Sus scrofa: one gene and its partners. The protein of the gene in region 3 purifies or fractionates together with the protein of the main gene of each other region. This does not show direct contact. Links are inferred from orthologs where the notes say so. Each region holds a gene or a part of one and is shown on either strand. Other genes may lie near its edges.

Evidence for each region. Proteins that work in one complex are often made in the same cells at the same time.
Region 1: the proteins of FOXO1 (region 3) and ATG7 purify together in Homo sapiens (affinity purification with western blotting; 4 studies listed by BioGRID). This does not show direct contact. The link is inferred for Sus scrofa from reciprocal best matches to the Homo sapiens genes FOXO1 and ATG7.
Region 2: the proteins of FOXO1 (region 3) and SIRT2 purify together in Homo sapiens (affinity purification with western blotting; 3 studies listed by BioGRID). This does not show direct contact. The link is inferred for Sus scrofa from reciprocal best matches to the Homo sapiens genes FOXO1 and SIRT2.

Annotation. Positions count from the first base shown.
Region 1 is NC_010455.5:67,490,242-67,493,885, forward strand, and holds part of ATG7 (ubiquitin-like modifier-activating enzyme ATG7), read left to right. Parts: coding exon 1-141; intron 142-1,833; coding exon 1,834-1,949; intron 1,950-3,644. UniProt on the Homo sapiens protein: E1-like activating enzyme involved in the 2 ubiquitin-like systems required for cytoplasm to vacuole transport (Cvt) and autophagy.
Region 2 is NC_010448.4:47,693,279-47,696,922, reverse strand, and holds part of SIRT2 (NAD-dependent protein deacetylase sirtuin-2), read left to right. Parts: intron 1-3,147; coding exon 3,148-3,187; coding exon of another isoform or gene 3,188-3,189; intron 3,190-3,338; coding exon 3,339-3,444; intron 3,445-3,547; coding exon 3,548-3,604; intron 3,605-3,644. UniProt on the Homo sapiens protein: NAD-dependent protein deacetylase, which deacetylates internal lysines on histone and alpha-tubulin as well as many other proteins such as key transcription factors.
Region 3 is NC_010453.5:15,407,148-15,411,320, forward strand, and holds the start of FOXO1 (forkhead box protein O1), read right to left. Parts: upstream 2,913-4,173; 5' UTR 2,887-2,912; coding exon 2,236-2,886; intron 1-2,235. UniProt on the Homo sapiens protein: Transcription factor that is the main target of insulin signaling and regulates metabolic homeostasis in response to oxidative stress.

The DNA of each region.
Region 1 (3,644 bases), on a different chromosome or scaffold from region 3:
CCTAAGCAGCAGGGAGCTGGGGACCTGTGTCCCAGCAACCCTGTGACATCTGCTGACCTCCTGGGCTCATCACTTTTTGCCAACATCCCTGGCTACAAACTTGGCTGCTATTTCTGCAATGATGTCGTGGCCCCAGGAGATGTAAGTGGACTTCTTTGAGGTTCCAGATATTTCTTACAACTGTCTTGCCCACTAGGGTGGAGAGACCCAATACTTGCCTTTTTAACTGTGTATTACCTTTTAACAAAGGGAAAAATTCTCCTGTTTGCAGGGTGGCATTGTCCTTCTGTGAGCCTTGATTGTCATCATCAACCAATACAGCTGTTCCTTGTTCTCCAGTGTAAACCCAGTGACAACTATTTTTATGGAAAACTTGGCAAGGAAACTGCAGGCTAGATGGGTCCCTGCAGCACTCAGCACTGTCTGCTGTGCATATCTTAGTGAAGAGGGTGTTAAATGGGAGTCTGAAGGCCCAGCCTTTAGTCTAGGTTTGGACACTGGCTCACAGTGTCATTCAGAATCAATCTCTTGGCTCCCTTTGCTTCTGCACAGTGGACCTGAGGACCATAAAGTTGTCGGATTTAGCAAGTCAAAATACGGGATTCATGGCTAACTTTGAATTTCAGTAAATAGTGAAAAATATTTTAGTATAACTACGTCTCATGCAATATTCAAGACATGTTTGTGCTAAAAAAAAAAAAAAGTTTTTAAAATTCAGATTTAACCCAGTATCTTGTATCTTACCTGCTAACCCCAGTAAGGAAGGGAGGGGTACTTTCACTGACTGCTCTCAGTACAAGGTCGAATGTGAAGGTGCTGTGAAGAGCAAGCCCCACACTGTTCCAGTGTAAGGTTCTATGGTCTTAATACTGCCTCGCAAGCAGGGTCAGTCAGTAGGAGTGGCCTTGTGTCAGAACAGGCAGGTGTTTCTAGTAAAACAAAGCAGAGGTGTTCATCCCTCCCTTCCATTTTCCCCTTCTTTTAAAACTTGTTCCTGAGCAATTCATACCACTTTTGGGTGACTGGCTTTTGTGTCTTCCCAGTATTTTTAAGAAAAAAAAAAAAAAGATAAATATCTGCCTGTGTGAAGAAGGGTGGCTTTAGCTCCATCATGGGTTATAATATCCAGCTGGCCCTGTTGTTTCCTGATTACCAACATGAGGGACCAAGGGTCAGTTGCAGTTAAGTCACATCTGTTCATAAGGCACAATTTTCAGAGTTAAAATGATCCCTAACAACCCCTTAGATTTGCCTGGAGTTGACAGGTAAGAACTTCTTGTGTTGAACTAATGAAGGCTTGTGTTTGGAGCCGCGTGGTAGCATAAGTTCTTGTCCTTAAGCCCAGGGGTGATGAGATGCACACGGTGTGGGCGGCACGTAGGGACAGAGGGCCGCAGGATGGCTCATCGTTCCTCCTGCCCCACATGCGCTCTGAGGCTCTAGCGCAGTCAGAACAGCGGGGCGGGATCATTTTTTCTGTTCAAATGTTACTCCTGTCTGTGTCTCTGACTCCCAGCTAACAAGCACAGTAGAGTTGAGTCACTTAAAAACACGCATTGTGCAACTCCTGTTTGGGGCAGCTAGGCCCCTAATCTTTCATTTGTTTATAAATGCTAGTCATTTTTAGTGTATGACTGCATTTAGTCACCTAACTTGTATACTTCATTTTTCTTGGTACTTGCAAGAAATGATATTATGTGAGGCCGACCGGTCTTTGCCAACAGAGCGACTGGCTCTGTGGTGGAGCTTTATCGTGGAGAGAGTCATGCTTTAGATGGCTAGAGCTGGGTAGGATGGAGCTATGAGTGCACAACAGTGACTGTTTCTCTGTAGTCCACCAGAGACCGGACCTTGGACCAGCAGTGCACTGTGAGTCGTCCAGGACTGGCCATGATTGCAGGAGCCCTGGCAGTGGAATTGATGGTTTCTGTTTTGCAGCATCCGGAAGGGTAAGTTTGCTGGTTAGAGGTGGGTGTTTAAACAAAGAAAGCTTTCGTGTCTCCCTTGGCCTTTTCTCAGTCTGACTCTTCTGAGAATCATTTTTCTCTTCCCAGCCTCAAAAAAAACCAAGATTTTTAAAAGCCTGCTCTGATTCCTTGGCCTAGAAAACTTGTCATATAATCTTTAGGGCTGTATCTCTGCATCCTTCTGGAATTGGACTATCCCATAGTTAATTGGTAATCAGTGATAAGGAAGGATGAAAATTTTGGTAGAGGCCTTAAGGACCTTCATGCTTTATTCTGTTAAGCCCTGATCTCCTTAGCCCTGAGCATTTGTAAGGCAGTACCTGAATCACATCGGGTAGAAATTGCATTTGGCTGTATGTAACAGAGATCCATCTTCATCGGCTTAGCCAAATGAGTGGGGCTTTATTTTTCTCTTGCAGCAAAAAGCTCAGAGGCAGACAGTTCAGGGCTGGTACAAGGGCTCCCACATGTCGTCAGGGACTCTAGTTCCTTTTCTTTCACTCAGCGACTTTAGCTTTCTTCTTTATGTTTGTCACCTCGTGGTCACAAGACGACTGCTCTGCCTTCAGTGCTGCTTCTGTGTTAGAGAAGAATTAACCAAAGGATGAAAGTTGTGCTCCGCTGCAGCTGCCCCCTTTTAAAGAGCTCTCCTGGAGAACTTACCCATTGATTCTAAAAGTCTTAATGCACATGACCTTGCACTGTTAACTGCAAGGAAGGCGGAGAAATGTAGTTCTTTGGGTGGACACATTGCCTCTCTGACAAAACTGTGATGAAATAGAAGTGAGAATGGACGTTCGGCAGGCCACCAGGAGAATCTGCACACTCTTTTTTTGAAATTCTGTATGTATTTTCAACCCCAAGAGATATTATTGTTATATAATTGACAGTCATTTCATTTTGCTGATATTTTCTTTTTTGTTGCTTTTTATCTCTTTCTATATCCTTGGGCCTCCATTCAAGGGCATTTTCCTTCTCCCTGAAGAATACCCTTTATTATTCCTTTAGAAATGCTAGTGGCAAAGATATTTCAGTTTTTTCTTTGTCTGAAAGTGTCTTTGTTTTATCTTTATGTTTGAAAGATATTTTTGCTGTGTACAGAATTCTGGATTGCTGGTAATTTTCCTTGAGCAAGTTGAGACTATAGTCCTATTGTCCCTGGCTGCCTTCATCTTCGTTGAGAAGTAAGGTGTTTATCTCATTGCTGCTCTTTTGATATAATTTGTTTTTCTCCCTTTCCTCTACCCTCAGTTGCTTTTATGATTTTCTCATTGTCTTTGGTTTTCAGAAGTTGGAAATATATACCTAATTCTGTCTTTATTATTCTACACCTATTTCTGTATTTATTCTGATTGTGCTTTCTAGTGCTTCTTGAATCCATGGCTTGCTGCGTTTTTTTTACCCATTGTGGAAAATTTTCAGCCATTATCTTCTAAAGCATTGCTTCTGCCCCTTTCTTGATTCTTTCCTTCTGAGTCTCCAGTTGCTGTTAGAATTAGCCTGTGCTCTTTTCTGTATTTTCCATCATTTTGTCTTTCCTTGTTTCAGTCCAGTGATTTTTTTCTGGCTTATCTTCCAGTTTACTACTTCTTTCTTCTTCTTCCTCTTCCTCCTCCTCCTCCTCTTCCTTTTTTTTTTTTTTTTTTTAAGGGCCACACCTGCGATGTTTTGAAGTTT
Region 2 (3,644 bases), on a different chromosome or scaffold from region 3:
AGCTGCTGCCATGTCCGAGTCCCTGTCCCGCTCAGCAGCCAGGCCCGCCGCCCCGACCCCTGCCCCGGCCTGGGGCCAGCCGGCAGCTGCCTGCAGCCGGCTCCTGGCCTGGGCGGGCCCCCAAGAGAACGCAGGCCCTGGCAACGCAGCTTTCGTTCCTTCCGCCCTCCTGCGCCTGGGTTTTAGGATAATTGACTCCCAAGGGTGCTTATGAGGGGATAATAATAGTAATAAAACCCCCGATAGCTCACTGAGCTCTCCCCGTTTGCCAGGCACTGGGGCAAAGCACTTGACAGGCCTCCTCTGGTTTGATCTTCGCGTGGTGACCCGTGAGGGGGATCTGGACGGAAGAGGAACTGGAGGCCCAGAGAGGCTGTGCCGTGGTGCAGGGTCACACAGCCGGCAAGAGGCAGAGTCTGGGCTCCACCCCAGGCCACCCGAATCCAAAGCAGCACACACTCCCTTCCATGTGCCCCCCACCCCCCGGCCCACCAGGCCTCCTCCAATGATTTCATGAACGTAGCCAAACACTGAGGCTGTGGAAGTCTCAGCCCTTGTCACCCTCACTGTCCCTCTTTACACAAGGCACCCCAGAGGTGCCCAGTTCACAGGCCCTTACACTTGTCTATCAGCCTACAGGCACATGGTGCCACGTTGGCAGGGCTGCCAGCCAGCCAGCTACTAAAAAGGCAACGGGGCTATTTCTGCACAGCCCCACGTGCTTGTGAAGTGATTCCACTGCTGCCATGTCTTCCATCCTCTTTTCTGAAAGCTGCTGACAATGGGGAGCAACGCACCCGCAGGCGTACAAATCACGGGTCCCAAGAAGTGAGGCAGTTCCCTCTGTGGCGCAGCGGAAACGAATCCAGCAAGAATCCATGAGGATTCGGGTTCAATCCCTGGCCTTGCTCGGTGGGTCGGGAATCCAGTGCTGCCATGAGCTGTAGTGTAGGTCGAATATGTGGCTTGGATCCAGTGTTGCTGTGGCTGTGGCGTAGGCCACCAGCTGTAGCTCTGATTCACCCCCTAGCCTGGGAACCTCCATATGCCACAGATACGGCTCTAAAAAAGCAAAAAGAAAAAGGAAGGAAGAAAGAAAGGAAGTTGAGGGAGTTCCCTGGGGACGCATCGGGTTAAGGATCCAGGGCTGTCATTTCAGGGGTTCAGGTCACTACTGCAGTGCGGATTCAATCCCTGGCCGGGGAACTTCCACATGCCCAGTGCAGCCCAAAAGAAAAAAGTTGAGTACAAGTGACTCGGAGCATACTCAGTGCTGGGCCCTGATCGGAGCTTCACATGAATGAGATCGTTCTCTCAACAGCCCTGCAAGGTCACTACTGTAATTACGCCCCTTTTACAGAGCTGAAAGCTAAGGTGCAGAGTGATGATCTGAACTAAGACACTGCCATCAGGTCAGAGAAGGAAACTGAGGCACAGAGAGGCTGTGACTTAGTGCACCCCCCCACCCCCACCTCCATCCCCATCACCCCCCACCCCTATCACCACCCCCATCACCACCATCATCCCCACCCCCACCCATCACTCCCACCCCATCACCACCCCCTACCCCACCCCATCACCCCCCATCACCACCATCATCCCCACCCCCACCCCATCACTACCCCCATCCCCACCCCATTACCCCCACCCCCACCCCACCCCATCACCCCCCACCCCCCATCACCACCACCACCACCCCCAAACCCCTATCACCACCACGGGTGTGCAGGAGAGCCAGAATTGGGAACCCTTATCCACTCTGCTGCTCACTGGGTGTGGGCTGAGAGTGGCAAATCTTTGGTCTTCACCTGAAAATTATCAAACTTTAGGTGGCTGATGTGCATTTGATTACAAGAGAAGGAATGTGCTAGAAGTGGATGGCCATCCAAGATTGTGTCCAAAAGATGAGGGGTGGCCCGAGATTCTTTTCACAATAAGCTCCAGCTCTTCTGGGGGAACCCCATGCCCAGCCCTTTCACTAAGATCTCGTGTGTTCTTGTCTAGATCTAGCTAGGAGGAGAAATTTCCCTCCAAGTGGCCTTTTGTTTAATCTTATACCTTGGTATAATTTTAAGCAGGGGATTCTTTTTTGTTTTTAATGCAATTTTATTTTTTTGTTTTTGTTTTTGTTTTTATAGGGCTATACCCAGGGCATATGGAAGTTCCCAGGCTAGGGGTCAAATCCGCCTGCACCACAGCCACAGCAATGCCAGATCCGAGCTGTGTCTGCAAGCTGCACCACAGCTCATGGCAACACTGGATCCTTAACCCACTGAGTGTAGCCAGGGATCAAACCCACATGCTCATGGATAATAGTCGAGTTTGTTACTGCTGAGCCACAGCGAGAACTTCCTGAGCAGTGGATTCTTTGACTCCCACGCTGGCTCTTCCACCAGCCAACTGTGTGACCCCCCTCTGAGCCTCAGTTTCTTCATCTGTAAAACGGGATTTTTTTGGGGGGGGGCTCTTTTGTCTTTTTTTGTTTGTTTTTGTTTTTTTTGTCTTTTTGCCATTTCTTGGGCCACTACCGCGGCATTGGAGGTTCCCAAGCTAGGGGTCTAATTGGAGCTGTAGCTGCCAGCCTACGCCAGACCTACAGCAACACAGGATCCGAGCCGCGTCTGCGACCTACACCACAGCTCACAGCAACGCCAGATCCTTAACCCACTGAGCAAGATCAGGGATCGAACCTGCAACCTCATGGTTCCTAGTCGGATTCGTTAACCACTGAGCCACAACGGGAACTCCCTCTTTTGTCTTCTTAGGGCCACACCCTCAGCATATAGAGGTTCCCATGCTAGGACCTGTAGCCACTGGCCTACACCGCAGCCACAGCAATTTGGGATCCAAGCCTCGTCTGTGACCTACATCACAGCTCACGGCAACACCGGACCCTTAACCCACTGAGCAGGGCCAGGGATCAACCTGCGCCCTCACAGATCCTAATCAGATTCGTTAACCGCTGAGCCACGATGGGAACTCCTATAAAATGGGTGTTACCACCACCCACCTTGAGATAGTTGGGGGACCGTTCAGGGATCTGAAATGCTTCCTCCAGGGCCTGGCATGGAGTAGATGGCTTCAGGGACTGGGGTAGGCGATGTTGAGCAAACTATGTCATGTGCTGTGTAAACTCTTCTCCTCCAGGTCGCAGGGTCATCTGTTTGGTGGGAGCTGGAATCTCCACGTGTAAGCATCCCCTGCCCCAGGAGCCGCCCCTGGTTGGGTGCCCCTGGGAAGGGCTGGGGAGGAGCCGAGCGGGCGCTATCGCCTGGGAGGGTCGGTGTGGTAGCAATGGGGCCGAGCGAGGTCCCTCATCTTTGGCCCCCTGCCCCCAGCCGCGGCATCCCTGACTTCCGCTCCCCGTCCACGGGCCTCTATGCCAACCTGGAGAAGTACCGTCTGCCCTACCCGGAGGCCATCTTTGAGATTGGCTACTTCAAGGTACGAGTCCCAAGGTACGTGGTGGGGGCCGGGGGCCGCCTGGTGCCAGCTCTCACCTCACCAGGGGCACGGGGCTGCCTGCCCTCCGGTCTCTCTCCCACAGAAACATCCAGAGCCCTTCTTCGCCCTCGCCAAGGAACTCTATCCTGGGCAGTTCAAGGTGAGCTCTTTTCGGTGGGGGGGACAGGAGAGATGGGGGA
Region 3 (4,173 bases):
CTGCCACTGGGCCTCCAATTCTGGACAGTCAGTCCTTACCAACATTTAAGAGACCTTCTAGCTCTAGGAAGTAAATTTAAAAAACAAACAAACAAACAAACAAAAAAGCACACCTTTAACTACCTGGGAAAAAAATGAGAACAAGTAGAAACCTAATAAAAATGGCTGGGGTCAGGGAGTGATTTTAGTCTTAGAAACTATTAAAAAAAAACAAAAGCATAAACCTTAAATGCTTAAGTTATATTCCTAGTTTAAGAATACAGGAATGATCTGACTTAAGACCATTTGAGAGGCAAAACTAAAACTAATCCCCAAACTTTGCCTTTCCCTATCTTAAAAGAAAAACACTCCAGCAAGCTTAAGTAGGCTGTATCCATTTCCAAGGACATGAAAAAACGGTGTTAAGTACACACTGTACTTTTAATTCCGAAAACAAAAAATTTAATGGCAAATGGTTTTACAACAGCTCAAGTAGGATTGATAAATGAACAAGTAAGTCAAGTACTTAAATTCAAATGTTATAAAATTGGATTTGGCAGACAACCCCCATTTTCTGACTTTAAAGAATATATACCAAGGGTAAAATAAGGAGGCACTTTACTTTTTTGAAACCTAGGTAAATTGCATGTAATGCCTGGTAATCAGATCCTAAGTGAAGCCTTTACTCTAAAATACATTTTGGAAAAAATAAGATCCTTGTTCCTTCTCCAGGAGCTTCAACACGATGTGATTAACTTAACCTTTTTGACACACATTAACCACAGGAATGACAGTGTACGTAAAACAACCTTTGTGCAACAAATGCGCAGCAAAGAAAAATCTTTATTATGCTGTACAGTCCCGAGGAGGAGTGAAGAGGAGTCTGACTCAACCAGAGAACCTTAACATCGATCCTTCCACCTGTAACAGAAAGTGTCAGCTTCTGGAAGTCGCGGGGCGAACCGCTGGCCGGTATGCCTCCCCCAGCCCGTCCTCCTGGGAGCCCCAAGGCCTTCTCCACCTCAGGGTAGGGATGTGCCCCCACCTGAGTGTCTCTCCCGCTGTCTCTCGGTCTCTCAGAAAGGCAAAAACGGCCAGAGGCACCGCGTGTACAGGCCTCCGTCGAGACAGGAGGTCCTTGCAGGTTCCCTTGACTCGAACCTTCATTCCAACTCCCCGAACACCAGTCACCTGCCCCTCGGACCTGTACCTCCAAACGCTGTAACCCTGAGGGGGCAAAGCAAGAATACCCACGTCCCCAGCCCTGGCCATCCAGGAAATCCTCTCCGTGCTTAATTAAAGGCCTCGAACCTTCGGCGAGGCCAAGTTTGGGGGCACTTCCTTGGGCAGAGACGTGCCGGCCTTGCTGCCCGGCGGCCGGGCGAGGAGGTGCCCAGGGCCAGGACGCGCTGGCCCTTTAAAGGCGCTCGCTTCCTGCGCTCGCGGCCCCTCCCTCGCCGTCGCCTGCTCCCGCCCCCGCCGAGGGTCACACTTGAACTTTAGCTCGCCCCGCGCCGCCGGGCGCCGGCGCTCCGCAGGCGGTGGCCGCCCCTTTGCACGTGTCGGAGACGCTACCTCTGGCTCTGCGCGCCCGGACCCCTGCACTCGAGGCCACTTAGAATAAAATCAAAATAAAACAAAATGCATACGGCCTCCAAAAACCGCGCGGCCAACCTCCACGGGCCGGCTGCCTCGCGCCCTGCCTGTCCCCTCCACCTGCAGCCCCGTCCCCCAGCGGCGGGGCTCCGAGGCCCCTCGCAGCGGCCTCCCCCGCCCAGCGCTGCGGAAACGGCTCCGCGGGGCGGCGGGGAGCTGGGGGGCCGCGGGGGAGGAGGGGAGCCGCCCTCACCCCTGAGGTCGTGGAGGGAAAGGAGCAGCGGCAGGAGTTCGCGCGGGCCGTGGAGAAGGGGGGGCAGGTCGCAGTGAACCCCGCTCTCCGTTCACTGGAGAACTTTTTTTCTGGTTGCTCTGAGGTCCACTTCTTGGCGTACTTTTTTCACTACTTCGGTCCCAACTCGCCCCTTCCCGCTCCCGCTCCAACTCTCACGAGAGCGTACACACAGACGTTTATTCCAATCCTCCGACGGGTCCGAGGCAAGCCCACCACCCACCTCCGATGCTTCTTGCACGCGCTGCCCGCGTGCCCTGCACTTTCAAGCCAAGCAAATTTGCACAGCCGTCCCCTCCGACCTAAGGCGGAGGCAGGGCTTCCCGTGCCCCCCTCCCGCTCCAGCCGTGCGCCCCGAGGCCACTCACCTTCCAGCCTGCCGAGCTGTTGCTGTCGCCCTTATCCTTGAAGTAGGGCACGCTCTTGACCATCCACTCGTAGATCTGCGATAGCGTGAGCCGCTTCTCTGCCGAGCTCTCGATGGCCTTGGTGATGAGGTCGGCGTAGGACAGGTTGCCCCACGCGTTGCGGCGGGACGAGCTGCTCTTGCGCGGCTGCCCGGCAAGCGACCCGGCGGCGGCGGGGGGCACAGGCGGGTGCTGCGACAGCGGCCCGGGCGGCGGGGGCTGCTGCGGCGGCGCCGGGTGCAGGCAGCCCGCCTCTGGGCCCTGGAAGTCCCCGCACAACCCCCCGGTGGCAGCAGCGGCGGCCGCCGCCGCCACCGCGGCTGCCGCCGCCGCCGCCGCCGCCACGGAGCCGGGCGCCTGCTGGAAGTCCCCGCTCTCCTCCAGCAGGCTCAGGTTGCTCATGAAGTCGGCGTTGACAGCGGCCGCCGAGGCCGAGGGCAGGCCCGCGGCAGCGTCGGGGTTCGCGGCTGGGCCACCCGACGGCGCCGGGCTGGAGGTGGCCGAGTTAGACTGGCTAAACTCCGGCCTGGGCAGCGGCCAGGTGCACGAGCGCGGCCGGGGCAGCGGCTCGAAGTCCGGGTCGATCTCCACCACCTGGGGCGCTTCGGCCATGGTGACCCCCGCCCCTCCCCCAGCAGCGGGATTGCCAAGAAGTGCGAGGGCGCTGCACCAGGAGCTGAGGGGAGAGGGCGCGAAGAGCCGGTCCGAGATTTTGGGGGGCGAGGTCGGTGCCGCGGGCGGACGGAAACCCGGAGCAAGACGCGGCGGCGAAGTGGAAGCGCGAGCCCAGAACTTAACTTCGCGGGTCCATCAACATCTAGGCTCCTCCAGGTCCGCTGCACGGACGGGACGGCAGGCCAGAGTCGCCCAGCCCAGGCAGCGCCAGCGTCGCGCTCCTACTGACACGGCCCGAAAACCGAAGGAAGGACGGGCGCCGCGGGCCGCTCACTCTCCCCGGCGGCGCGACCGCGGCGCTGCTGCCTGTTGAATGTGGCGGCGGCGGCGGCGGCAGCGGCGGCTGCTGCTGCGACTACGCTGCCGCCCGACTTACGGGATCTGCCGCCGCCCCCCGCCCGCGGCGGCGCGCGCGCTTGCCCGCCCCTGACTGATAGCCCCAGCAGCCAATGAGCTCGCGGCGGCACCGCCCAGGCAGCCAGTGGACGCCGGCCTGGGCGGGGGCTGGTTTTCCAGCGGGAGGTGGCAGTGGGTTGGTGGGGGTAGTGGGGTGTTTTTTTCTTTCTCACACACGCACAGTCTCCCTCACTCTTTTTTTTTTTTTTTTGGCTCTCTGTTATTATTTTCTGGTAATTTTCGAATGTTTCTGTGAGTCTCTCCGCTCTCAGTGTTTTGATTGCTGTGAGGCAAACCAGCGTGGAGGCGGCGGCGACACTTTGTTTACTACCGGGGAGCAGAACCGAGTACTCGGGAAGCCCGAGTGGAACGAGTCGCTCGCTTGCCCTCGACCTCCGCTCCGGGCCCAAAGCCGGGCGGGGCGGGGGCCGGAGACGCTGGGCGCTTCGGGGGCGCTGAGTGGGCGGGCGGAGGCGGCCTCGCGGAATTCTGCTCAGTCGCCCCCTCTCGACTCCGCCCTCGACTCCTTTGCTGAGAAACGCGGGGAAGTCGGTGGGTTTTGTTTTTGTTTTGTGTTTTTTTCCTTTTCCTGCGATGTATCGAGTCCTCGGGCCCCGCGCGAGCCGCGCACGCCTCCAGGGGCCCGGGCTCTGACTGTCGTGTCCGCGCGGAGGACGCCCTGGCCGCCGCCTCCGCGACCGGAACCCACCTGTCTGCGCCCGAGGGCTGAGCCTCTGAGGTCGAGTGTAGCCGGGGGCCCGTTGTCCGGCCCAGCACCCGCCAGCCGGGTTCCCTCCATTCTTGACCTGAAAGAGTGGAAGCGAGAGA